Linked DNA regions of Neurospora crassa OR74A. The main gene of each other region encodes a partner of the protein of the gene in region 5 in a complex. Links are inferred from orthologs where the notes say so. Each region holds a gene or a part of one and is shown on either strand. Other genes may lie near its edges.

Region 1 (2,956 bases), on a different chromosome or scaffold from region 5:
AGGCTTGTTTGATCGAGGCGGGGGTGAGGTCGGAGGTGGTGGGTGAGAGGGAGAGGATTTCGTAGAAGGTTGGTTGGGACATCTTGGATGTGTTGGTGGTTTTGCGGTTTGGTGTTCAATGTGGTGTTTGGTAGTGCGGCCCCGGGTATAAAATGGTATGGTTGTGAGACCGGTTTGGTGTTGAAATGTATCGACGTGTAAGTGGTGAAAGGTTGGTGGTTTGCGTCGAGCAGCTTTCGAGAGAAAAGTTTGTATCCCGCAATCACGTGTCTCTTTGCGCTCGCTGCCCTTGTTATGTTGCTGTATACAGTAGGAAATGTGAATAGGCAAAAAAAAGAGGATGTGTGATGTGTCGGTTCTCACGTGGTGGTTTGAGTCTTAGTTGTGTGCCTGGTATCGTGAAGTGAGTTGTTCAGAGAAACAAATTCGGGGGGGAAATTTTACTGCACCGTTAGACACATTACCTCGTCTCGGCCTCCAACCACAGTGGGGAACTCCGTCTTATAAGACGCCAGAGGACGTTCAGTCAACAACCGGGAAACAGAACCACATTGATGGCAATCCCCTTCCAAATGGCTTGAAATTTGTTGTACATTGTTGGTGATGATACAGTCTATGGACATGGCAGTGACTCTCGTTGTAATCTTCCCGACAAGCGACAACAACCGATCGCTTATTTGGGGAACTTGGTCCAGTTCCTCTTGCCGACCTGTAGCGAAGCCCATGGTTAACAAGAGTGCAAACCGCAAGAGTTTGGGCGCAATCCTTACCTTTTTCCATTCCCGGATAAGGTCGGGCATAGCCAGCATGGCCTCTCTCCTCTTCTCCATCCTGTGTGCGAAATCCACCGTCAGCAAACCACCACTTCCTCCCAACCAGCAGCAGCAGCAGCAGCAGCAGCCGAGGATCGACAACGTACTTGGCAACCAGTGTCCTTTCGTGCTTGTGACCCTTGACCTTCTCTCCAACACCGGTACCCTTGACACGGAGACCGAGCTCGACTCTCTTCCGTAGCTTCTCCTCGTTGAGCTTGCGGGTGAAGGGCAGCAGCTCCTCGACGCCGTGTTCCTGGGCCAGCTTGACGAGCTCGGCCTGTCGCCTGAGCGAGTACTTGGGGTTGTGCCACTTTCCGGTGATTGGGTGCTTGGTGGGCATGAACGGGTTCGGGCTCTCCTCCTGGTAGGGCGTCTTGTGCGTCTCGGGGTCGGCGCCGGCGGGCAGGATCGAGGCCGGCGGGTACCGGGCCAAGAAGGTGCGCAACCGCGGTGGGAGCGAAAGCGCCAGCTGGACGTGCTGCTTCACCGTGGCCGCCATGGTGAAGATGTCGATCGACCGGCCTGCTGGCGGTACTGTGTCGGTCGAGGTGGGGGGGGGGGTTGTTTGTTTGTTTGTTTTTGTCGTAGGTGACAGGGTCCGGATTGCTCGAACGAACCGGAACGGGGAACTTTGCGATCAATCGGCCGCCGACGGGACCCCAACTGCGAAAAAGTTCCAGGTCGCGAAACGGTACATAGCGACAGCCGGAAGTTACACTTTGAGCCCTAACCCGACCTCTTTAACCCCCCGCGTAAGGCGGGGCATGTGGAGACCCTTGAACAGGCACGACAGGGATCACCGACCTTGAACCGTGACATAACTTTTGGGCGGGTCGAGAACTGTGCTGCACCGCTGCTGCACCCCAGAACCACCCAAGTTCGCCATAACAACAACCCCATTCCGGAACCCAGCACTGCTTGGAAATCAACACGTTTATTGTCAACACTGTCGCCTCCGACCAGTCTCTTCCTTCGATTCATCACCAACTCCATACACTACCACGATGAGCACGACATCAAGACGGGAACCCCCAGACCTGGCAGCACTGCTGCGCAAGAAGAAGGAGGAAGAAGCCGCCGCCGCGAAACCAAGATTCATCCCCAAAAAGGAACGAGAGAGGCTAGAAGCCGAGAAAAAGGCAAAGGAAGAAGAGGAACGCAAGCGCAAGGAAGAAGCCAAGCCTCAACCAAATGGAACAAATCATAACGGCAACCGCATGGACGGTATCCAGAGTCATCACAACCACAACCCTCAACGAAACATCCCAACCGGACCCAAGGCGATGCGGTACGACGATGACCGGGGACCCAACGGCATGAGCAACGGTCGGGACTACAGAGACAATCGCGACAACAGAGATAACCGAGACAGAAACCAACGGGGCGCAAAACGCGGCGCACCCAACGATGACGAAGAGAAGCGAGCCAAGATGGAGAGGAACGACGAGGCAGAGCTGCGCGCCCGCTACATGGGTCCAGTAGTAAATCAGTCCACATTCTCGGCCAAGAAGAAGAGGAGGAGGACGGCAGCGAACAAGTTCAACTTTGACTGGGATGCCGATGACGACACTAGCCGACCCTTCGACCCCATCTACGCAGAGCGTCAAGAGCCTCTGGTCCGACTTGGTGGTTACGAGATGACGGAAGAGATGGTGATGCGGAAGGCCGAAGCCATCCGTCGTGGCGATCCCGAGACGGGCGAGGAGCGCGCCAGGCAATACCTGGAACAACACAGACGGATCAAGGAGATGGAACAGCGCAAGAACCTGGGCAAGCACTGGTCCGAGAAGAAGCTGGAGGACATGAAGGAGCGCGATTGGCGTATCTTCAAGGAAAACTTTGGCATTGCCACCAAGGGCGGTGCCATTCCCAACCCTATGCGCAGTTGGGAAGAGTCCACGCTGCCTAGGCGTCTGCTCGACATTGTCAAGAACGTGGGTTACGACGAGCCGACGCCGATTCAGAGAGCTGCCATTCCCATTGCCCTTCAAGCACGCGACTTGATCGGTGTGGCCGTGACGGGTTCCGGTAAAACTGCAGCTTTCTTGCTGCCTCTGCTGGTTTACATCTCCGAACTACCACCCCTGACCGAGTACAACAAGAACGACGGTCCATATGCCCTGATTCTGGCGCCAACAAGA
Region 2 (3,577 bases), on a different chromosome or scaffold from region 5:
CTTCTTCCAGTCACAGCAGCGTACTTCGGAAACCGGAATGGTAAGACTCACTCACCTGCCTGGGAGGGGCTCACCAGAGTCATGGGTTAACAACGTTACTTTCAGAAACTTTTCTACGTCTGCTGCGATTGTGGTAATATTTACCAGTAGTGGGGGATTCACTCTTCACTCGGAAGGAATAGGGCCAGATCGATCCTTGTTATAGGCGGACAGGCGGGCGGTCGGAAAAAATCACAGGTTGATTAATAAAGATCAGGGGGTCATGATGAGTTGCATTACAGTGGCGTTTGTACACGGTTAACTCAAAAGGACCGCGGTTTAGGGCGTTTGGTTTTCTTTTTCATGCTTTGGCAGGACACTGGTTTAGAAATGGTCTTTCCATGAATCTCGTGGATAACGTTATAAACTGTTTCGTGTGATATGCAATGGTGATGTTGTTTTGCTTGACATGACATGTAATGTACAGTAGTATACACAGATTAGGACGGCACGCTTGATGTCCCGAACTGAAGTGACTGGTAAACCTAATCGACTGATGTGACGGCTGCTGCTGGCTGATCGTTACCCAAAATGGCGCTTGAAGAAAGGCCGTTCGATGAGACCATATTTTGGTGTGATGTCCGGTGTGTGAAGCCGTCGTACCTTGAGAACAACGTCGCAGTCTCAAACCCGTATACGCCAGGCCATCCCAAGTCCATCCTGGAAATCCGTAGACACACAAACCACAGTTCCGTCAGATATCAACAAAGTGATGTTCCGTAGCGCTCATCGTCAGTCATTACCTCAACACAGCCAACCCAAGCTGAGCCGACACCCAAACCCCCCACGAGAGTCACCAAGTCACCGCAATGACACATCCCACCGAGCATACTCCTCTTCACTTCAAGGAGCGTCACGCCACATCCCACCCCAACAAACTCAACTCTTTTTCTTTACGGGTATTCATATTTCATTCCATCTTGATTCTCCCGCTACATCCATCGTACATATATCCTCCCTGATCGATCAATCAAGCCTAGCTAAGCCTGCATAGGCGCCATACTCAATATCTTGCTCCACTTTTTCTTTCGCAGTTCCTGGCCCACCACACCATTGATGCGCGATCCGATCGGGTCGCCGGCCTTGTTGATCAAGACACAGGCGTTGTCGTCGAACCGGACGACCGAACCGTCGCGGCGCTGGACTTTTTGCTTGGTGCGCACTACCACGGCGTGGCGGATGTCGCCGCGCTTCACCTTGGTGGCGGCCGAAGAGGCGGCCATGCCGGCCGAGTCGGCGCCGCGCTGTTTTTGGACGACTACTACTATGCGGTCGCCTTTCTTCTGTTAGTTGAGGTATGAGGAGGGGAAAGAAGGGGGGAAAGAAGGGGGAGGGGGACAAGAGGGGGGAAAGAAGGGGGAGGGAGGAACAAGAGGGGCAAGAGGCAAGTATGATATGTGTATAAGACCAGATGTTCCTTGGTCGGACGAGAAGAATCGGACGGGATGGGACGGGTATGAACGGCGACGACGGTGTTGGTGTTGGGGTACGAAAGAGGGATCGGGTAGTTCGTGTAGATATGATATGCTCGAGTCGACGATGGGTTCGTGGGTGTATAACGGAAATCGAAAGGGAATTCGAAAGCATACCAATCGAAGCATGCCTCTTTTGGCCGACAACCATGGCGCATTCCACCAGGGCAGCACCCGAGTTGTCGATGCAGTTGAGCATCGTCTGTTTGCAGTTCGCATGGTTCGTTAGCAACCAAACTCTTTTTGCTTTCGTTCGACAGCAAGGGAAGAAGAAAAAAAAACAAACCTTTAGTTGAATCATCTTGGGCAACCGGTTACTCTGTCCCTGTTACCGAGCGAGTAGTGGCTGAAGTTAGTTGGCTGTCGAGAGGACCGAAACCCGGCAACTGAATGGGGATTCCACGGTTGACGCCGCGTATCGATCGATTGATTGATTGATTGATGACCGGCCGGCCGGCTGCTGTCCGTCGTGCCCGCCGGACGCGGGGACCCCATCGAAAATTGTTTGCGGGACGGGGATGCCAGGTTAGAGGTACGTACCCTGCATTAGGTAAGCAGGCTCCTAAGTAACGCGAGAAAAGAGAGAAGAAGGGGACGCGCCAAAACTTGGACGAAGAGTGTGGAGCCAGTCGGGAGGGGTGTCTCATGCATGCTCTTTACATAGCTGCTTTTTTGACTACACTAACGCTTTCGGGAAGTAGCTGTAGTTGAAGCTCTGAAAGTGTGAGAGTCTGAGGCATCAGCAACAGAACATGTGAGGACTCAATGACCGTAGTTGATGTTAAGAAGAGTTTAACAATGAGCACATTTTATGAGAAGTCATTATTGGACAATGAACTGTTGAATCGTCTGTATTTGTCAAGGAAGATAATGAGTGCGGCCATTCTGGACACAATCAGACAGCTAGCCCGGGCATGTACCATCTCAAGTCAGCTTGCAAACAGCTTGTCATAGTATCTCTACCCGACGACTCCAGAGGCAAGTTAGACAGCGATATACATACAGTACCCATCTCTGAAAGCGTACCCCAGATGATCGTTGAGACTCAAGTCGTCCATTGCTAGCAACATCCCCATCTGGTTAGAAACATTCCATCAGCCCTGACCCAAACCACCAATGACAACCTCGGCGCAACCAAGCTCCAGCCAGGATGGTGTCTCCCACTCTCCCCCAAGTCCCCGCTCCCCCGTCGGCTGATTCTCCAATTGTGTCTTTCGGAATTTGGCTAGACCACCGCTACCACGGCAACAGGTGGGATCGTGAAAAGAGGAGTAAAGAGGCGAAGATTTGCAATGCCGGGCCCCCTTTTGTTTTGTTTCTGCTCGTCCCCTTTTTCCCTGTTCTCCAATCGATTTGAGCAGTTTTACCTTGAGCTTCAGCTTATTCTCACCTCAGCTTCACTGCCACCAAACGGTTTGTTGCTGTTCTTCCTGTTACAGCTCCAGGTAAAATAGCAAGGCCCTCAAACAAGGCTATTGCCTCATATCCCTGCAGCCAAAAGCAAGAAGCCCGCACCACCTTGCAGTTTCCTCGCACTTTCACACTTGAGTTCAGGAATTCATAGACAGACAACAAGTACAAGAATACATATGACGGCAACCCGCCTCGCCGGACCACTCCAACTCCATTTCCCCCCGAGTCCGACCAACCACCAACAAGACTCGGACCGCAAAAGGACCCTCACCCAAGCTTGACCTCCATCCCCAGTCATTCCCACTCAGCTCTTCAGCTTTCTCAAGGGTTCGGCCGCCCGCCCGCCCTTCTTTGCAACCTCATTCGCGACCACGTCCTTGTCCTCCCGTCAACCACCACCCACAACAACAACAAGTCTGTCCCTTTCGATCAAAGCTGCAGCTTCAGCTTGAATTTCAATACTTTGTGACCTTGGCTGTCACCACTACCACCACCACCATCACTTGACTGCGCCTGTCATTGTCAGCCACTGTCGAGTCGCATTGGCTGCACTTGGCTTCGTTGCAGACACACATCGTGAGACCTGAGGCCGAGAGAGTGCACTATTCATTCACTTTGCGGTCAGCTTCAGCTCTCAATTGCTGACGGAAACA
Region 3 (3,520 bases), on a different chromosome or scaffold from region 5:
TTGGGGGATGACGACATGAGGGCGATATGGGAAGAGCAGGAGGAGTGGGAGAGGAGTTTGCAGGCGGGGATTGGAGGGATTGGAGGGAGTGGTGGTGCGGGGTGTGGGCATACTACCTCTACCAGTAACGGGGGTGAGAGGGATGATGGTATGAATGGGAATAACATGAAGGAAAAGCCAATGTCGATTAGTGGGGAGATTGCCGAGATGGCGAGGAGGAAGCAGCTGCAGCAGCTGGAAAAGGAGCAACAGGAGAAGCAAGATAAAGATGTGGAGATGACTTCGGGTTAGGAAACCGACGGAGGAGAAGAGAACCTGGGAATTCAAGACCAGTAGGAATGACACGGGTGGTGGATACAAGAGGCGCGCTGGTAGGAGTGCGATAGAAAGAAGAAAATTGAAGGAGGCAAGGAGAAGGAGGTTGAGAATAAGAAACAAGGAAGTTACCGATACATGGGGTATGCATGGGATGGCGTTTATGTTTTTGGCTGTTTAGTTATCTTCGGTATCCATAAGCGAAAGTGGGGAGATACTATTAACTCAGAAGCGGCATCTGCTCACGGTAATATCGTCGACAGACTCTCATGTTTTCGCTGACAACCCGTTCTTCTATCCATCCCAGTTCTCGTAGTATGATATAATGTTACATGTTTCATTGCTTTTTGTACACGTACAAGTGGTATATGTTGTTGTGAGGAATCTGTGTCCGCCACTCCCCCCCTTTCCCCATGAGGATATAATGTAGATGAGACCGAGAATCCCCCTTTATGTGTTTCCCAAGGCCCTGGCATTTCTTCCAACTCTGTCCCGTCATGATCATCATTATAGGAAAAAAAAAAGAAAATATCTTTCCGGCATCTGTGTCAGGAAAAGATCTCCTCGTTTGGTTCTTTTTCTGCGGGGGAGGGACGTGACCATCCTACAAAACAACAACACACATACACACACACACACACGGCGCCTCCACCCACCACACCACCACACAGAGACCATAACCATAGCAACCAACCCTTTTACTAGGCAGAAGCAGCAGTTTAGTCCATGGTGACGGTGGCGCCGAGCTCCTTCATGGCGGCGACAATCTTCTCGGCATCCTCCTTTGGTACCGACTCCTTCATGACCTTGGGCGCGCTCTCGACGAACTTCTTGGACTCTACTAGGGAGAGGCCGAGCAGGTTCTTGACCTCCTTGATGACCTTGGGCTTGGCGGCGGCGTCGAACTTCTCGAGCTTGAGCGTGAACAGCGTCTTCTCGGCAGCGGCAGGGGCGGCCTCCTCCTCCTCAGCGGGAGCGGCGGCGGGGGCAGCGGCGGGGGCGGCAGCGGCGAAACCACCGACGGGGAGATCGGGGATGTTGAGGCGGGACTGTTTTGTGTAAAAGAAGAGAGAGAGAGAGAGAGTGAGTGTTAGTGTTGGTGCCCATGTACATGTGTGCGACTTGAGAGTCTAGGTAGTATAAGATAGGTCTGTCTGTCTGTCTGTCTGTCCGGGGCCGGGCCGGGTCGGGTCGGGTCGGGTCCGGGGCGCAAAAACATCCGGAAACCTTGAAACATGCTCCGATTCGGGTTTTGTGTGTCCCGGTTCCCGGCCCCGGTTGTTCTTCTTCTCGTGCTTTATTTAAATCGGGCGTACCTTGAGGCTGGACACAAGCTCCGAGGTCTCGAGGAGAGTCAGGGTGCTGATCTGGTCAACAATGGCGGCGATCTTGGGGTTGGCGGCAGGGGCGGCGGTGGACTCGAAGCGCTTCTGGACGAGGAGGGAGCTCGAGGCCCGGGTGGATGCGCGGAGCTGGCGGGCGGCGCATTGCGCGGCGAAGCGAACCGAGAGAGACATTGTTGGTATGTGTGTGTGTTGGTGGTGGTGGGTTGTGTGGATGGATGGATGGAGAGAGGGGAGTCGGACTCGGACCGGAGGAAGGAAAGAGAGAGGGCGCGCGGGGGCGGTCGGATTGGGGTTCTCTTTTTTTGGTGAGGGAGGCTTGCCGTCGACGTCGACTTCGAGGATCGTACAACCGAACCGTACAACAACTAAACGGAGATATTTTTTTGGGGACGTTGTCGCGCGCTCCCGGGTGCTGCGAAATCTGGGACCCACTACTGGCAGTTGGCAGCTTGGTGGTTTGGGCGTGCAAGTTGGATCTATGACGGCTGGCTGACCCGGAGCTGCAGCTGGAGGGGAAAACCCAAGCTGCCTGCCCCGCGCGAGTCTGGGGATTAGGTACCTCTGTACCTTGAAGTCCACTGAAGACGCGCTAAAGGATGGGCCCCTGTCATCCCAAGCGCGCCCCTGCTGCCGCTGGGCTGTTCGTCCCACCCGGAACTAGGTTCCACTTTTGAAGAAGATGGCTCCCTTGCCTGCCGCAGCCGACTTACACTACACTATGTAGAGTACTATGCAGTACACCCCAGCACATGCGCCTAGCGCTAAGTAGCATGTACCCCGCACTATCGTTCAGCGCGATAAGGAATTTCATGTGGGAAAAAGTTCCAAACGGGAGAAAGCGAAGTTCAATGGGCAAAAAAGTTAGAGATAAAAAAAAAAAAGAGACTAAGAAAAACATCACCGTTTTTCACAACGACGACGACGACGACGACGACGACATCCACGCCAACCCGTCCCGTCGCTTTTCCCTGGCCATGATGGCCGTGATCGATGTGAGCCAGCAGAGGGCGTCGCTCCTTAGCGATGCGACCACCTTGGACCTCTTGCCGCCAGAGTTGCTGCTCATAATCCAGGATCACCAATCGACCAAATTCCTCGATGCGATCGCCAGCGCCGCTCTTGTCTCGACAGCCACCGACCGCATCTTTACCCATTTCGAGTCTGTTTTTGCCGATATTTGCGCCAGATGGATTCTGTCTTCTCCAAAACTCGATACGCGAGTCCTTGCCGCTTTCGCAAGGATCTTGCCCTTCGCCCCGTCGCTGTCCGTCTTCCTCGTGTCGCATCTTCGAGGAGGATCTTTTGGTGGTGTTAATGGTGGTAACCACAACGACAAAAGCAACGACAATGATGCTTCTTCAAAACTTAAACCTCTCGATTCCCTTGACCTAGCTTCGATCCGCCCAGATGACCTCCCAATTGTCCTCCTAGCCCTCTGGAGGCTCAACAACTTTGACAAGCGCACCTACGCCGGCCTGTCAAAGCCATCCCAAATACAGACCCTGTTCGCACACGAGAACCCCATCGTCCGATATCTTGCCGTCCGAATCTTCTGCCAGCTTCATAATGCCGCCGATGTCAAGATCGAAGCCCTCCTCGAAAAGCACATACCCAAAGATACCAGCCTTGTCGCAGAGCTCGACGGGCGCGAAGCCGACTATGCGTTCCTCAGCCTACACGAGGATTCTAGACGTGAAGACATTCAGAGCTCTCGCAGTAAATCCCAACAAACTAGTGCGGTTGACGATGCGGTTGTCGAATTGAATATCACAAACATCCCAGAACAGAACCTCACTCCTCTAGTTGTCAAATATGGAAAGACAGTCCTCCCGCGTCCCCTCGGCCCTGTGACTGCTCCC
Region 4 (3,185 bases), on a different chromosome or scaffold from region 5:
TCATCACCGGCAAGACTGCCCCTGGCGGTGTCTCCACCACCAACGTCACTGTCCAGCACTCCAGCAGCCGTGTTGCCCCTGACCAGCTTCCTCCCCTCCCTCCCAACGAGAATCTCCCCCCTGCCCCTATCGATAGCTCCATCGACAAGTGGTTCTTCATCAGCGGTGCTTCCGCTTAGAGAGTTCGTTTGTTGAGGTAGAATAAAGATAATTTATTGGCACTTTGTTGTATTGGTCAATTCGTCGTGAACAATCCTCCATGGTGTTACCCTCATGCGTTGTTTTGCGTAGAGTCGAACGTCTTTGCAACAAGGTATGCGCGGTCAGAGATTGGCCATTTCTGAGGCTGTAGTCCATGCCGTGGGATAGGGACTTGTCGAGGAGATGCTCGACATTCTTGCGCCATGAGTTTCGCCGTTGAAATATACCGATACCGTTGATGAATTCCCCATCGAAGGAAACACGGTCGCCAAAACAAAAACAAAAAAAAAAAAAAAGGCCGATCTCAACTTTGACTTTGTCAAAATGGGCGTACCGTGATGTGTGTGAATCAATCCATGGCAGAGGTGCTATATACGCATGTCTATAACAACAGGTACCCAAACTGCCTTGCCAACTGAAAATCGCCGGCCCCTTAACGCCTCCCAATGCTGTTGGTGTACACTTACAACCTCTTGCCCAATACAAATACAGGTTCATATCTTTTGTTGTTGTTTTCTTCTTTTTGGCTGGTAAGGCGATCTTACAGATCTCTCAGAGAGGTCGTCAGGTATCCGGCTCCAAGCTCGCTGGCTTTACCCAGGTGATTCGAATGTGCCTTTAGATATCCAGACTTTTCCTCTTCTCCTCCCGGTCAATCGTCATTTTGGTACCACGGACCAAAGCCAAGTAGTCTGGGTATCAAGACAAGATGGGCTTTCGTCGCTCTTCCCGTGGCTTTTCCCTCCTTTTTCCTAGTCTCAGTCTCCCTCGTTTTACCCGCAAAGTTCGATTGGTGGATCAAAACACAACAAGGGCGTCTCGAGATTGCTGGGTTTTGAAGAAGAAAAGAAAGACAGAGATTCGGTTAACCGTCGTTCAAGTCGGCCTGCTTCTGAAGGATACGAGAGTGGCGATCCACCTCCTCGACAATGCTTTTGATGCCCATGTTCTCAACGTCGAGGTTCATTTCCTTGCCGTCCTCTGTTTTTTTTCAAATACGTTAGACTACGGCTTGATTCACAGCTAACGACTCTTGATTGCCTTCCAGCCGGAATGATCCAAATTGCAACAACCAACTGCAACGGCGGTCCGTCGATGTGTGACAGAGTTGCAAGTGACAAGAAGAGAGACATTGGGAAAACGTACTGAACTTGACGTAGAGCAAAGGAGTCTCGGTGGAATTCCGCGGCAGAAGCTGGGTGGTGATGTTCATGCCATTGGAGCGGGCGTTGGGAGGGAGGAAGGAGAGGAAGAGCCGGGCGGCCTTGGCCTTGGCCGAGAAAGGGTTGAAGCGCGTTGATACGTCGGTGATGAAGCGGGTGAGCATGTTGGGCGAGGTCTCTCGGGTGGTGGTGGTGGTGACCTGAGGTCGTGTTGGGGTTGGGTTCGGGGAGGAAGAAGAAGAAGAAGAAGAAGCAGGAGGAACGCGGAGGCCTGACTGCGACTTTGCGAATTTGCGACGACGGGACTGCACTGCACACCGGACGGGGACGGATACGGAGACGCGGGAGACGGGAGACGGGTCTCTGTGGAGGATCGGACGGGGTACGTAGCTTGTGTGTCGCGATTTGGACTTCGATTCGGTCTTCGTGCCTGGCGCCGGCCGGCAGCGTGGAGGAGGGATGCGATCAAAAATTACTGGAGGTACGTACCGATTGCGCCGGGGACCGGGAGGGGTGTTTTTTGTAAAACGGAGAATGCGGGACGGCGCGTGCTACGTGTGAGAGATGGGCTGTGATTGGTTGGGAGCCAACTGGGATCAAACGGTGTCAGGCTCGATTTTGCATTCATATTTACACTACATCAGATCAATTGACATAATACATCTTTTTAATCTTCTGAACGGGAAGAGAATCACTTCTGGCCTTCTATTACATTGTGTTAGTCTGTAGCCCTGAGTGTGTAAGTTTGTGCTTTGTTCCTTCAGCGCAACAGTACGTACTCCCATTTGCCCCAGCGAGTTGTAACTTGAACTCCGTTACCGAATTCCGCATGTGATCCGTTTTCATTGACCTTGAGGATGACGTTGCAAGAGCCACGCCCACCGAGAACTTCCATTGAACATCGCTACAGTGCTCTCCTTTCAGGCCAGGTTTCCACTAATTATCAACAACAGCACAGCTGCTGATCAACACCAGGTACCTAAGTGGGATCCGACTACGATCCATGGAAACCATTTGTTACACATCCACCTTTTTCCAACACATATCTATCTACCTTTACCGAGTCAACTCCCTACGAATGCAATACCGACATAATACAACAAGTCACTAATGTCAACATTCGAAACGCTTCAAGAGCGGCTCACGGCCCTCCAAGAGACGACCGGCCAGCTTAAGGACCTCATCGAGCGTCTCGCCACGCTCAAATTCGAGCCCGGTTCCGTTCCTTTGAGCAACAGCATCAGCAGTCTCGCGAACACTGGCGCCGATGGAACCACCAACAGTGAGGCCGCTGACTTGAGCGCCGAAATCAGCCAGGTCTTGCGCGAGGAGGAGGAGGATTTGGAGTTGCTGCAGGAGGAGATTATCGACTTGCGCTCCGGCCGCCCAGGGAGTGAGGCGGAACATCAAAAGACGAGGTTAAAGGAGGGCGCGCAACGCTTGGCTGCCGAGCTTAAGGGGTGAGTTTTGTTTCTCATCTTTTCAGCCTGGATGGTGATGACGATGATGAAGATGAAGATAAACAACGTACCTAACAAAATTGCGTCTCAAAAAAATACAGCTGTCGAACCTCCTTCCGCAAAGCCCAACTCGCGGCGCGCCGCAACCTTGAAACCGCCCAGCGCCTCGAGCGCCAGCTCCTCTTAGCCTCCTACGTTGCCGTCGCCGCCAACCTCGCCGCATCAGACCGCGGATCAGGCGCCTCAACACCCGTATCTACTGCTGCTGCCCCCAGCGGTGGTGCTCAACCAACCTCGTCGACGACGTCTCCACCCCCTCTCTCAACCCCCGCCGCCGCCGCTTCGTCAGATGCTCCTCCTC
Region 5 (3,632 bases):
TGACGAGATCTACTTCAAGGCGCAGATTCCGTGGATCTCGGGCGAGATGAACCAGCTGCACGGCCGCATCGACATCAAGTTCAATGTCAAGGGCACCAAGCGCACGGGCGTGATGCGCTTCGCCAGCTTCCGGCCCACGCCCCGAGGCATGTTCGAGACGACCGAGTGGAGTCTGGAGACGGAGGACGGCAAGGTCATTGACCTGCTGGAGGAGGGCGATCCGTTCAGAGCTATCAACGGCCGTGCGATGGAACCTGAGCTGGATGATGATGCAGAGGATGCGAAGGTCAGGGGTTTCAGGCAGATGCCCAAGTAATTGTTTTGGGGTGCTCTTAAGGAGGGAATAGTTTTGAAAAAAGGGAGGATATATATGGGAACCGGGGAAGGTGGTGGTCCCCCTCTCCCCCTCTCAAACAGGATGAGCTGAAGGACAGGATCGTGGTCTGGCTCTCTGATTGAATACCCGAAGGCTGTCAAGGAGGAATATGTGTAAGATATAGGGAGAGAACATACGAACCTATCACGGGCAAGGGTTGTATGTTCAAGTTGTTATACATTTTCGGTAGCTGTACATTTTAACACCCCACGATGCGTGTGTATCATACAAGAGAGAACTAAAAAAAATGAGAAACCGGGAAGGCTTTACCATACATTCCCTTCCATAAACCTAGTACAAACACATACTACAGACCAGAGACAGCCCCCCTCTCTTAAGCCGAAGCTTCTACCGCAGCATTTCCATCCGCCTTCTCTGTCAGCCCATTCTTGATGAGCGAATCTATCAGGCCCTGTCTCCTCGCCTCCTTGAGCTCCAAGTGCAACTTCCTCGCCGCCTGCAACTTCTCCTCCGCATCAGGGAACCGCTCGTTGAGGAGCTGCTTGGTGGCCTCGACAAACTCCTCCGGGGGAGGAGCCTTCTTGACAGCATCCTGAACCTTGACAACCGCACCCTTGTGACCAGCGACCGCGCCCTTGACCACCACGATGCCGAGCTCGTTGTCCACCATCAGAATGGGCAGGTTCTGGACCGTGTGCTGCTGCGCGCCCATGCGACCGGGCATCTTCTTGCCGGGCAACACACGCGAACCGGAGCCCTGCGAACCACCGACGGAACCAATGGTACGGTGGTTCAGCGAGTTACCGTGCGACGCCTCCTGACCGGCGAAGCCGTGACGCTTCATACCACCGGCAAAACCCATACCGCGCGTGATGCCGCGCACGTCCACCACCTGGCCGACGTGGAACCAGTCCGGAAACAGCTGGACGCCGACCGGCAACAAGCCGTCCTGGTTGCGCACCTTGAACTCGGCGAGCGTCTGCTTGGGCGGGATGCCCTTGGCCTCGTAGTAGCCGAGCTGCGGGGCGCCCACGTTTTCGGCGCGGCGCTCGCCCAGGCCAACCTGGACGGCCCAGTAGCCGTTCTTGGCGCGCGTCTTGTTGGCGACGACTTGGACCCGGTCGAGCTGCAGAACGGTGCAGGGGATGCGGGCGCCGGTGCGGCCCATGAAGACGGTCATGCCCTTCTTGACAGCGAGCACGCCGGTGCGCAGGGGTGTAGTCTTCTCGCGGCGCTTGAGGGCAGCGGCCGGGCCCGAGGTGGGCGCCGGAAGACCCTGCGTCACTTGGTTGAATCGTGTGGGCCTGCTGCGCTTCGGGAGCGTGCTCCAGCCGTACTTGACGCCGCGCTTTGTGATCTGAGGGAGGAGGGAGGGAAAGACAGTCGATGGCGAGGAGGCGGAGAAGGTGGGTGTGGTCCGGCCGGCGAGGAGGAGGGAGCTGGCGGCGGCGGTGGTTGTGGTGTGGGTGGCTGACCTCTCGACGAGGGAGAGCTGCCTCCAGCAGCGCGCGGGCAGCCGGGGCGCCATCGTGTATGTGTATAAGTCTGAGGGGAGGGTTGGGTGGTGTTGTGTTGCTTTTGGTGGGGTTGGTCGCAGTCAATTGGACCTGACGGTGTTCGTTGTATCGATGTCGGGGCCCCGGAGCGTCGAGTGGGGGGAATGGAAAGGACACCGGCTGTCTTCGAGACGCGAACCGGAGGGGGCGGAGTTGGGAGGTCGTTTCGGCGCGCGGCCGTTGAGGTGGTTTTGGGGCGGGTGCGGGAGTGGTGGTCGCCGGCTCGAAGCACGGAGCAGCAGAAATTTGATAGCCACTCAGAAATTCAGTAACGGGATGCTCCCCCCCCGATAACGTCGATCGGTTCGGCATCCGGGGATTCACAATTGACAGGGGAGGGGCGGCTATTCACAGGCGGGTACTATGTATTTGGCGGATTGTGGTGTACAGAGTGTGACATCTCTACAAGAAGGGTTAGGGTTAATTGCTTCTTTCTATTCACTTAGGTAGTTTTACTTCCGCTGGAGTGCGGGCGCATTTTACCGCATTGGATCCCCCAAACTCAACCGCTAAAACATCTTCACTCGAACCACCACCACACAGCCCCAGAGAAGAAATCGCGTTTTTGCATCTTGGTTTCCCTTCTTGCACGAAGTGTCTTTTTCATTGTCGCCGTTTTGAGATACCCAATATTCCCATCTTTCATTTCTTCCAAAGGCATCAGCAACCATGGTCTTCTATTTCACTTCGACCGTCGTCAGTCCCCCGGCTTTCATTTATGTGGGGAAAGACAAGTTTGAGAGTACGTGAAGATGATCATCAGCCACAATTGGTGGTATTCTGCATCTCCTTGTGGAATATGCATATATCTTGACACACTCATGGACATTGCATATTTGACTTGGATATAGATGTCAGCTCGTCACTCATCTAACATGCTATTTTATAGACGAGGAGTTGATCCAACACGGCTGGGAGGAGGATGTATGGTAAGTTTCACCCCGGCCAAGCCTAGTTCGGCATTTTCTAACTATTCTTCGTAGGGTATGACTCCCCATGAGGTTCTCGTCATATTATGCTCTGTTTCTCATTACTAGGCCCTACTTAGTTCCATGTCGACAAACTTTCCAGTGCTCATATCTACCTCCGTCTCCCAGAGGGTTGGACATGGGAGAACATTCCCGAGGAGCTCCTGACCGACCTTGGTCAGTTGACCAAGGCCAACTCCATCGAGGGTAAGTTGCTGCTTTTGAATTCTACTGTCAGGAAGTCATGGGGGAATTCGTGAGGACTAACTCTGTGCTTTTGTAAAGGTAACAAGAAGGACAACATCACAATCATCTATACCCCATGGGCCAATCTCAAGAAGGACGGCAGCATGGCGGTCGGCCAGGTCAGCTTCAAGGATCAGAAGAAGGTGAAGCGCATTTTGATCGCGCAGCGCGAAAATGCTATCGTCAACCGTCTGAACAAGACCAAGGTTGAGAAGCACCCGGACCTGCGAGAGGAGAAGGAGCAGCATCTCAAAGAGCTGCGCAAGAAGGATCAGGCGGCGGTGCTGGCGCGGAAGAAGGAGGAGGATCGCCTGAAGAAGGAGCGGGCCGAGAAGAAGTGGCAGAAGGATCATGCCTACGATGAGCTCTTTGCTGAGGAGAACATGATGAACTCGAGCAATCAGGATCGGGATGAGACCTGGGAGGATGATTTCATGTAAATTTGCTTGAGAACAAAAGAAACAAACCTACTGAAGTTTTCCAAGCTACATAAGACCTGAAAATCCTTTGATGCCCGAAAGCCAT
Region 6 (4,063 bases), on a different chromosome or scaffold from region 5:
GCCAGAATCCCAAGTTCAACCACTCAACAACTTGGACTGAATACGTATTCCGGTTACGGATTGAAAATTCCCCGAGGTTTATCGATCCTCTCGCGGCTGTATGACTGTGGATAAGATCAAACAGCAGAAAAAGGCATCGTCCCATACTTTCTACTCCAAAATTCTCTTCGTTTTCTCCCTCATCGTCCTCATCCTGGCTATCTTCAGTTCCCGCATCTCCTTTCCCCGGCTTTCCCTCATTGCGAGCCATTTGACTGGCAGTGCCAACACAATCACAGCAACCAGCCGCTCAACCATTACAACTACATCTACACAGAAGATGGCCTCTTCCCAGTACGCAAAGGAGCTCGAGGTAGCTCAGCTCGCCGTCCAGCGGGCCGCCCGCCTCACCAAGCGCGTCTTCCACGAGAAGGCCAAGGGCACCGTTTCCAAGGACGACAAGTCCCCTGTGACCATTGGCGACTTTGGCGCTCAGGCGCTCATCATCAGCGCCCTCAAGGCCAACTTTCCTTCGGACGAGATTGTGGCTGAGGAGGAGGCCGCTCAGCTGCGCGAGGACACCCCCCTGCGGGACCAGATCTGGGAGCTCGTCAAGTCCACCAAGCTTGACGATGAGGCTGCCGAGCAACTCCTTGGCGGCGCCATCAAGGATGCCGACGCGATGCTGGAGATCATCGACCAGGGCAACAGCAAGGGCGGCGCCAAGGGCAGGATATGGACTATCGACCCCATCGACGGCACCAAGGGCTTCCTGCGCGGTGGACAGTATGCCGTGTGCTTGGGACTGATGGTGGACGGTGACGTCAAGGTCGGTGTTCTCGGTTGCCCGAACCTGCCTGTGGACGACGCTGCGCCGTTGGCTGCGGATATCGGCACCAATGCGACCGATGAGGGCCGGGGTGTCATCTTCTCGGCCGTTCAGGGCCAAGGCGCGACTAGCAGACCCCTGGGCACCGCCGGTCTTGCGGAGGGCAAGTCCATTGCGATGAAGCCTATTACAGAGATGTCCAACGCCAGCTTCTGCGAGAGCGTGGAGGCGGGTCACTCGGATCAGGGCGTGGCTGGACAGATTGCGCAGAAGCTCGGGATCACCAAGCCTAGTGTGCGCATGGATTCCCAGGCCAAGTACGGCTCTATTGCTCGCGGCGCGGGTGATATCTACCTCCGTCTGCCTACTTCCAAGTCTTACCAGGAGAAGATCTGGGATCACGCTGCTGGAGATCTGATTGTGCGTGAGGCTGGTGGTCAGGTTACCGACGTGAGTGGAAACCGCCTGGATTTCAGCGTCGGCCGCACGTTGGCTGAAAACAAGGGTGTCATTGCGGCGCCTGCTGCGGTCCACGACCAGGTCATCAAGGTCGTTCAGGAAGTTCTCGGGCAGCAGTAAAGCCTCGGTGTCATAGTGTACAGGTTATGGCAGGTATCGGGCCGTTATGAGGCCATGTGTGTGCCAAAAAAAATAATAGACTAAATGTACAATATTCCCCCCTTATCCTCATCAACAACCATATCAGCCACCAAAACCCACCGCGCGTCCTCTATTTGATCTTCTTCTGCTTCAACTTGATGGTCTCGCCGTTGACAAAGATACCCTTACCCTTGTAGGGTTCCGGTACACGCCACCTCCTGATATCAGCGGCGAAGGTCATGACCTGCTCTCTGTTGATGCCCTCAAGCAGGATTCTTGTCGGCTGCGGCGTGCTGGCCTTCATGCCCTTGGGAACGCCCATCTCGACGGGGTGGGAGAAACCGAGCTTGAGGCAGACGAACTGCTGGCCGGGGTATTCCTCCTTCTCGGGGCGGGTGTCGATTGTAGCTCTGTAACCGATACCGACCAAACGCAACACGGCCGTGTGACCTTCTGATACACCCATAATGAAGCGGTTGAGGTACGCCCATGTTGTTCCTGTTTTGTCCAAGAAAGATTCGAAATCGTCAGCTGACTGGCCGCCCGTAACTTTCCACATTCTCCAAGACAAGGAAGGTGTTTGCCATACCCCACATCTCTCTCTGCTCCTTCTCGTCCCGGTTCGCTACGCTGAGGGTCGCTCTCCTTGCCTCGGCGTCGTGGTCGATCTTGATGAAGTCGGGAATGTCCATCTCGAGTTGTCCTGTGAAAAAGCACACGCACACGTGCAACAAGTCAGCCAGCTGCTCTGCTCCCATCCTAGTCCCCTTTGCACTCTCGCGCAAACACCCATAAACAACGTTCTCTCTCGGGCCTCTCCCAGCCCATCTGTTGCGCCCGCTCCAGTTTCGTTGCGTATCCTCAAATAAAACACCCATCTGGTCCTTTTGCCAAGTCGATTTTACAATAGAACAAACTAACCCAACGGGCCCTGCACCGTAATCTTGCGCTTAGGCTGCTGCTTCCACTGCGTCATGTCGCGCTTGACGAAGGGCTCGCCAATGGTGATCTCGACGCCAGGAGGGATACTGAGCGGGGTGCGGCCGAGCTTGGACGGGCGGGTTGTCGTCGCGGAAAAGTTGCGCCGGGCGGCGGCACCGGCAGTCTGTTGGAAGGCGGGCACCAGGAAGCCGGGGAGTGTGACGACGGGAGAAGATGAGGAAGAGGCAACGGCCTCAAGGACCCTCCTTCGGCTTGGGGCGAACATCGTGGTGAGTGTCGTCGTCGTCGGCAGGGTGGTGGCCGTCGTCACGATGCGGAACCGGAATTGGCGAAGAGACGCGGCGCTCCAGTTCGGAGGTTCTGGCAGTCGCAAGGGCAGCACCGAGTCAATGGCAAGCCGGCCGGGTGGTGGGATGAACCGAGTGGATCTTCGGAGAGCTCCAAAAAATGTATCGGACCTGACGCGGCACAGCAATGCAGCTAGTGATTGGCTGTAAATACAACAGGGTTAGGGTCGTATCCGCATAGTCTCGCTGCTGCTATTCGCTTGGGCTAAGAAACAACGACGAACACCAACAGATGTTATTCCATCCGACATCATTCATCTCGAGTAAGAAATCTTCAAAAAGAAAATGGCACAGGGCGTGGAAGTGTAGAGTTTACTCGATGGAACATATTGTTTCACAATATTCAGATTGAATGTTGAATTAATCTCCCGTTCGACAATCGTCCAGCTTTCCGATGACGACTTTACGGATGCCAACCTCACGATAGTCATCACCACCCAGAACACCCGTCACGGTCGAAGTCTTCCAAACTGTCTCAAGCGAGCTGTTTGCACTTTCTCGATACCGGATGAAAAGATGCAGATTCCAGTGATGTCAAGACAAGTGGTCTACAGCCCAAATCTTTGTCTAGGCTCGCTTCTGTTGGAGAGGACAGCGTCACATCAGACGATTAAGAACCAGCAAAAGTCGAGCTCGGCAGACAATCACAGTCATATTCGATGCGAACTTCAAGTGAAGTCATTTCACACGAAACCTTTTCGCGGTTTCACAATCCTGTGATTCTTGTCCCGCTAAATTCAAGTCCGCTTCTCTTATCCTGGGCAGTCGCGATCGCCAACTTACCCTCATACACCTTCCTTCCTTCCCTCTCTTGAATCGCTCCTTCTCTTCAAAAACACCACAGAATTTTCAGTTGCATGGCCACAAACTTCGATCGCCAAAATTGCACTACCAATATTGCCAGAATCTCCATTTCTTACTGCCGAAGTCCCTTCGACGGCACTCTTCTGGACGCATCTGACTTTATCAGTATATCATCATCAGCCTGTCGCATTGCACTTACATGACAACTATGGCCAGGAAGCTTCTCTTCACGGCTCTCTGTGCCGTTACAGCTACACCTTCTCTGGCCTTTTCGTGGGGAGGTGAAAGAAAAGTGGCAGTTCGTAAGTAATATCAGAGCACTGCCTGCAGGGCTTGACTAATAATATGACCGCAACACAGCCGACCATCAAGTCAACATCGACCGCAACATCCAGCCTTCGGATCTGCTTCGAGCGTCCTCACGCCTACCAAATATCTACGCCGTCGCCCTAAGTGAACTTCAAGAACTCGAATCAGAACCGTTTTGCCATCGTGTGGCCGCCCGACTCCTAGTCAACAACTGCCAGCTGGTAGACGGAAAGAACGACGCCACAATCCTCAC
Region 7 (3,346 bases), on a different chromosome or scaffold from region 5:
GGAACCGCGCAGGATGGCGTCACGGCCCGTGGACTGGATGGCGTTGACGATGGCGGAAGGCGCGGCCGTGCCTTCTATCGTGAGCAGCTGGTCCTTCAGGTTGGCCTCCACTTTGTTGATTCCGGGGAGCTTGTAGAGTGCACCGGAGACGTCGTTCACGCAGCTTTCGCAGTGCATGGGCACGGCGAAGAGAGTCTGTGAAATGAGTTAGTATGATGTGCCTCTGGAAGTATGTCAAGGTGAGTCAGATATGTGAGACAGGCTTGGACCCTTTATCTAAAGAAAAGGAAGGGCTTGGACCGAAGCTCATATGTAGGCATATATGAAAATGAGGCTGTAAAAGGGTATAAACAAACCTTGAAGGGGGTTGTGATGGAAGCCATGTTGCCGGCTATCTTCGGGATTGATGATTTGGGAGCAGCCGGGGATGACTGTGACTGAAAATAGTTCCTATGTTGTTGGCGTTGTTGCCAAAGGTATGCGCCTCCAAAACCTGCTAAAGCTAGACTAGAAATACTTAGGATTTGTCTGGCCGTGTACGGTGGCATCGGTTTCAGGCACTAAGAGGTAGCAAAGACAATACTGAGGACAGTATAGAAGTGGTGGTGTGAGAAGCAACACCAACGTGAGACGATGGATTTGTATAGAAGGCGATGGAGGAGAGCCCCACGTTCGGCGAAGGAGGGGACGACTAGGTACAATTAATAACGTTTTGGCTCCAGTCTACGGATGCTTAAGAGACGGGGTAAATGCGACTCTTGTGCTGAGATTCCTCATTGTTTCTCGACAAGAGAGTGCATGAAGTCACCTCACTGGAGTGCGAAATGTCGTTTTCCCATCTTCACTGTAAGACGGCAGGAAGGTAGATGTCGGCCTGCCAAAATGTTGATTTCAAAGCGACGGCACCTTTCTGGGACCACTTTTTGCGGGCGACCAACTGGGGCTCCGCTGTGTCCGGCTCCTCGATCGGCCCAAGCCAGGGCAATCCTGCTCCCCGAAAGCGTGTGATATGTACCGGGAAAGGAAGTGCAGGCTTTGGTACATGGGACATCAGTAAAAGAGAGCTCTAAGTGCGCCGAGTTGGTGTTTGTTAGTGCTTTCCTCAATTACACACTAAGACTTGCGGACCACCGTAGCCACCCCGCCAACCGCCAGCGGGCCGTCGTGCCCCAATCGTACGTGGAAATTTTCCGGCAAGAAAAGTGATTGCAGCTTTTGGGCTTGGCAGGCTCTGCTGCTGCCCTTCTGCAGGAGCTCCATTCTGCTTCCCGTGATACCGGACCACATTTGATACCCGTTCGCCGCGACAAGCCCCGGACTTTCTCGCGCCTGCCGAACCCGCCGTCTCGAACACTCCGGAGCCCGCCCGATCCCGTGTCATTCAATTGACCCGGACGATAACACATAGAGGTTCACTTACCACCAGTCGATGAGGGACTCGTTCCCACTGGTTTTCATACCTGCCTTCTCCACCTTAATCCTCTCTTGAACACCATAGTATACGACCTACATCACCACCGCGCAACACCGTCAACATGTCGCAAACAGTCGGAGCTGTAAGTTTCTTCCTGTTCGGACACAACTGTCCCATAATTTCGTCGTGTTTCTTACAATTTTGGCACTTGCTCGCCCTCCCGCCACCACCACCACCACCTCCACCACCCGTCACTAACCACCGCCGTCTTGCGACGAACGTGTAGACCCGACTAGCCTACTCCCGTGTCTGGCACCACATCTCCGCCGTCACCCCTCACCCCACCCTCTCGACCATCAAGGCTCCTTCCGAGGCCATCACTCCCCCTTCTCTCGGTCGCCTCGCCTCGCGCATTGCCACCATCCTGATGGGCAAGCACAAGCCGATCTGGGATCCCTCCACCGACTGCGGCGACTACGTCGTGGTGACCAACTGCGCGGGTTTGTACACGACGGGCCACAAGAAGTGGCGCAAGACGTACTACCGCCACAACACCCGGCCCGGTTCGCTACAGGCCATCACCATGGATGCGCTGATGGAGAAGCACGGCGGCGCCGAGGTGCTGCGCAAGGCCGTCAGCGGCATGCTTCCCAAGAACAGGCTGCGCGACAAGAGACTGGCGAGGCTCAAGGCGTTTGAGGGTGATGCGCACCCGTACAAGGAGAACTTGGTGCGATTTGGCGGTAAGGTGGTGGGCGCTCCAGGTTGGGAGGAGGCTGTCAAGGCTATCCGGGAGGCGGACATGGAGAGGTTATGAGCGACCATGGCTTTGAGGTGTGAAGGTCTGGTTGAAGGCGCTGGAGCTGGCTATCTACTCATGGAAGAGTGTCAGAGAAACGGGAGAGAAAGAGATGTAGGGACGAATCTACATCGAGCCGTTACGAACCATCTAGCCGACGAAGACTGAGAACTCTGTCAACTGTGAGGAAGATTGTGTGGACAACCACCTCGTTGGGGCGAGAAATCTCTCTCGTGTGTTCTTGTGTCTGTTACAGCCCACTTGGCCGTGTGATTCACGGGCAATGCCGCCAGTGTCAGTCTGTATATTACATGGGAAGCCGGTTCATGAGCCCAGCGCGCAACGGACAGTGTACGAACTTGGGTTAGAAAAAGGGGGCCTCTCATTGTACAAATATATCACTCAACAAGATACCATGATTACGACTCATGAGAGCTGTTTAGACTCATTGATTGTTTGATCTGATAAGCGATGAGCAGATCCTCATGTCCAACACGCTGAAGGCCCGCGAAGGCAAAAAGTCAGCCTCACCGATTTCACGGCATATTTTTTCACTTGGTAATTCGAGAGTGCAGCTAGCAGTGCTTTTCGGATGCTTGCTTGTTCATAATAGGAAGTTTATTTGATTACCCCTGAAAATTAGCGCCAGTCAAGATGTCCATAGCCTCCGTCTCATGATGATCCGTTGCATCAAGGTATCATCATCTTTCCACCTTCAAAACGTACGCCTGCCCGCCAACCAACCCCTCGGAACGTGAGGGGGAATGCAAAAAAAAAGAAGAAAAAAAAATGGTGATATCATAAAAGAAAGCCAAAGAAACATGTGTGACGTTTTAAAAACAAAGTTCAACAGTCTTACGAGCGAGAGACCTCGCATTTGATGAGACCGTTGGGACCAGACTGGGGAGCGTACACCTCGGCGTCCTTGCCGGTGTTCTGGAGGCCCTTGTGCCAACTGAGATCTGTTTTTTTTTTTTGGGTGTTAGTGTAAATTTATCTGGACCTATTTTTTTTTTTTTTGGTGGATTTGCGAAAGGGGTACTCACCAACTTCAAAGTAGTGCTTGTTGGGTAGCGAATAGTTGGTCTTCTCCGTCTCGGGTACCGCATCCAAGATCTGCTCGCACATCTTGT

What was found.
Region 1: NCU06749 (region 5) and NCU02804 share a complex: the UniProt entries of both Saccharomyces cerevisiae proteins name them as parts of the mitochondrial large ribosomal subunit. The link is inferred for Neurospora crassa OR74A from reciprocal best matches to the Saccharomyces cerevisiae genes MRPL9 and MRPL25.
Region 2: NCU06749 (region 5) and NCU08552 share a complex: the UniProt entries of both Saccharomyces cerevisiae proteins name them as parts of the mitochondrial large ribosomal subunit. The link is inferred for Neurospora crassa OR74A from reciprocal best matches to the Saccharomyces cerevisiae genes MRPL9 and MRPL38.
Region 3: NCU06749 (region 5) and NCU06469 share a complex: the UniProt entries of both Saccharomyces cerevisiae proteins name them as parts of the mitochondrial large ribosomal subunit. The link is inferred for Neurospora crassa OR74A from reciprocal best matches to the Saccharomyces cerevisiae genes MRPL9 and MNP1.
Region 4: NCU06749 (region 5) and NCU00952 share a complex: the UniProt entries of both Saccharomyces cerevisiae proteins name them as parts of the mitochondrial large ribosomal subunit. The link is inferred for Neurospora crassa OR74A from reciprocal best matches to the Saccharomyces cerevisiae genes MRPL9 and MRPL44.
Region 6: NCU06749 (region 5) and NCU04068 share a complex: the UniProt entries of both Saccharomyces cerevisiae proteins name them as parts of the mitochondrial large ribosomal subunit. The link is inferred for Neurospora crassa OR74A from reciprocal best matches to the Saccharomyces cerevisiae genes MRPL9 and MRPL6.
Region 7: NCU06749 (region 5) and NCU07852 share a complex: the UniProt entries of both Saccharomyces cerevisiae proteins name them as parts of the mitochondrial large ribosomal subunit. The link is inferred for Neurospora crassa OR74A from reciprocal best matches to the Saccharomyces cerevisiae genes MRPL9 and MRPL23.

Annotation. Positions count from the first base shown.
Region 1 is NC_026501.1:9,064,477-9,067,432, forward strand, and holds NCU02804 (mitochondrial 60S ribosomal protein L25), read right to left. Parts: upstream 1,507-2,956; 5' UTR 1,315-1,506; coding exon 920-1,314; intron 832-919; coding exon 771-831; intron 710-770; coding exon 674-709; 3' UTR 501-673; downstream 1-500. Other genes in the region: NCU02805 (diphthamide biosynthesis protein 4), read right to left, coding at 1-82; NCU02803 (pre-mRNA-splicing ATP-dependent RNA helicase prp-28), read left to right, coding at 1,820-2,956. UniProt on the Saccharomyces cerevisiae protein: Component of the mitochondrial ribosome (mitoribosome), a dedicated translation machinery responsible for the synthesis of mitochondrial genome-encoded proteins, including at least some of the essential transmembrane subunits of the mitochondrial respiratory chain.
Region 2 is NC_026503.1:4,951,434-4,955,010, forward strand, and holds NCU08552 (mitochondrial 54S ribosomal protein YmL38/YmL34), read right to left. Parts: upstream 2,110-3,577; 5' UTR 1,813-2,109; coding exon 1,798-1,812; intron 1,714-1,797; coding exon 1,629-1,713; intron 1,316-1,628; coding exon 1,020-1,315; 3' UTR 501-1,019; downstream 1-500. Other genes in the region: NCU08553 (DNA directed RNA polymerase II 15 kDa subunit), read left to right, coding at 1-40, 106-150. UniProt on the Saccharomyces cerevisiae protein: Component of the mitochondrial ribosome (mitoribosome), a dedicated translation machinery responsible for the synthesis of mitochondrial genome-encoded proteins, including at least some of the essential transmembrane subunits of the mitochondrial respiratory chain.
Region 3 is NC_026503.1:1,524,674-1,528,193, reverse strand, and holds NCU06469 (putative mitochondrial 54S ribosomal protein MNP1), read right to left. Parts: upstream 2,051-3,520; 5' UTR 1,833-2,050; coding exon 1,632-1,832; intron 1,365-1,631; coding exon 1,035-1,364; 3' UTR 501-1,034; downstream 1-500. Other genes in the region: NCU06470 (hypothetical protein), read left to right, coding at 1-291; NCU06468 (midasin), read left to right, coding at 2,636-3,520. UniProt on the Saccharomyces cerevisiae protein: Component of the mitochondrial ribosome (mitoribosome), a dedicated translation machinery responsible for the synthesis of mitochondrial genome-encoded proteins, including at least some of the essential transmembrane subunits of the mitochondrial respiratory chain.
Region 4 is NC_026501.1:6,595,341-6,598,525, reverse strand, and holds NCU00952 (mitochondrial 54S ribosomal protein YmL44), read right to left. Parts: upstream 1,823-3,185; 5' UTR 1,529-1,822; coding exon 1,348-1,528; intron 1,183-1,347; coding exon 1,067-1,182; 3' UTR 501-1,066; downstream 1-500. Other genes in the region: NCU00951 (inorganic pyrophosphatase), read left to right, coding at 1-179; NCU00953 (hypothetical protein), read left to right, coding at 2,475-2,824, 2,926-3,185. UniProt on the Saccharomyces cerevisiae protein: Component of the mitochondrial ribosome (mitoribosome), a dedicated translation machinery responsible for the synthesis of mitochondrial genome-encoded proteins, including at least some of the essential transmembrane subunits of the mitochondrial respiratory chain.
Region 5 is NC_026502.1:2,066,040-2,069,671, reverse strand, and holds NCU06749 (mitochondrial 54S ribosomal protein YmL9), read right to left. Parts: upstream 2,209-3,632; 5' UTR 1,866-2,208; coding exon 711-1,865; 3' UTR 501-710; downstream 1-500. Other genes in the region: NCU06748 (hypothetical protein), read left to right, coding at 1-316; NCU06750 (coiled-coil domain-containing protein 25), read left to right, coding at 2,563-2,635, 2,783-2,822, 2,965-3,068, 3,147-3,547. UniProt on the Saccharomyces cerevisiae protein: Component of the mitochondrial ribosome (mitoribosome), a dedicated translation machinery responsible for the synthesis of mitochondrial genome-encoded proteins, including at least some of the essential transmembrane subunits of the mitochondrial respiratory chain.
Region 6 is NC_026506.1:2,634,633-2,638,695, reverse strand, and holds the start of NCU04068 (mitochondrial 54S ribosomal protein YmL16), read right to left. Parts: upstream 2,801-4,063; 5' UTR 2,616-2,800; coding exon 2,330-2,615; intron 2,112-2,329; coding exon 1,998-2,111; intron 1,907-1,997; coding exon 1,539-1,906; 3' UTR 1,388-1,538; coding exon of another isoform or gene 101-1,387; 3' UTR 1-100. Other genes in the region: NCU04069 (3'-phosphoadenosine 5'-phosphatase), read left to right, coding at 101-1,387; NCU04067 (hypothetical protein), read left to right, coding at 3,710-3,803, 3,862-4,063. UniProt on the Saccharomyces cerevisiae protein: Component of the mitochondrial ribosome (mitoribosome), a dedicated translation machinery responsible for the synthesis of mitochondrial genome-encoded proteins, including at least some of the essential transmembrane subunits of the mitochondrial respiratory chain.
Region 7 is NC_026503.1:1,107,974-1,111,319, forward strand, and holds NCU07852 (mitochondrial 54S ribosomal protein YmL23), read left to right. Parts: upstream 1-1,207; 5' UTR 1,208-1,535; coding exon 1,536-1,556; intron 1,557-1,700; coding exon 1,701-2,231; 3' UTR 2,232-2,846; downstream 2,847-3,346. Other genes in the region: NCU07851 (superoxide dismutase 1 copper chaperone), read right to left, coding at 1-195, 357-548; NCU07853 (uricase), read right to left, coding at 3,069-3,175, 3,260-3,346. UniProt on the Saccharomyces cerevisiae protein: Component of the mitochondrial ribosome (mitoribosome), a dedicated translation machinery responsible for the synthesis of mitochondrial genome-encoded proteins, including at least some of the essential transmembrane subunits of the mitochondrial respiratory chain.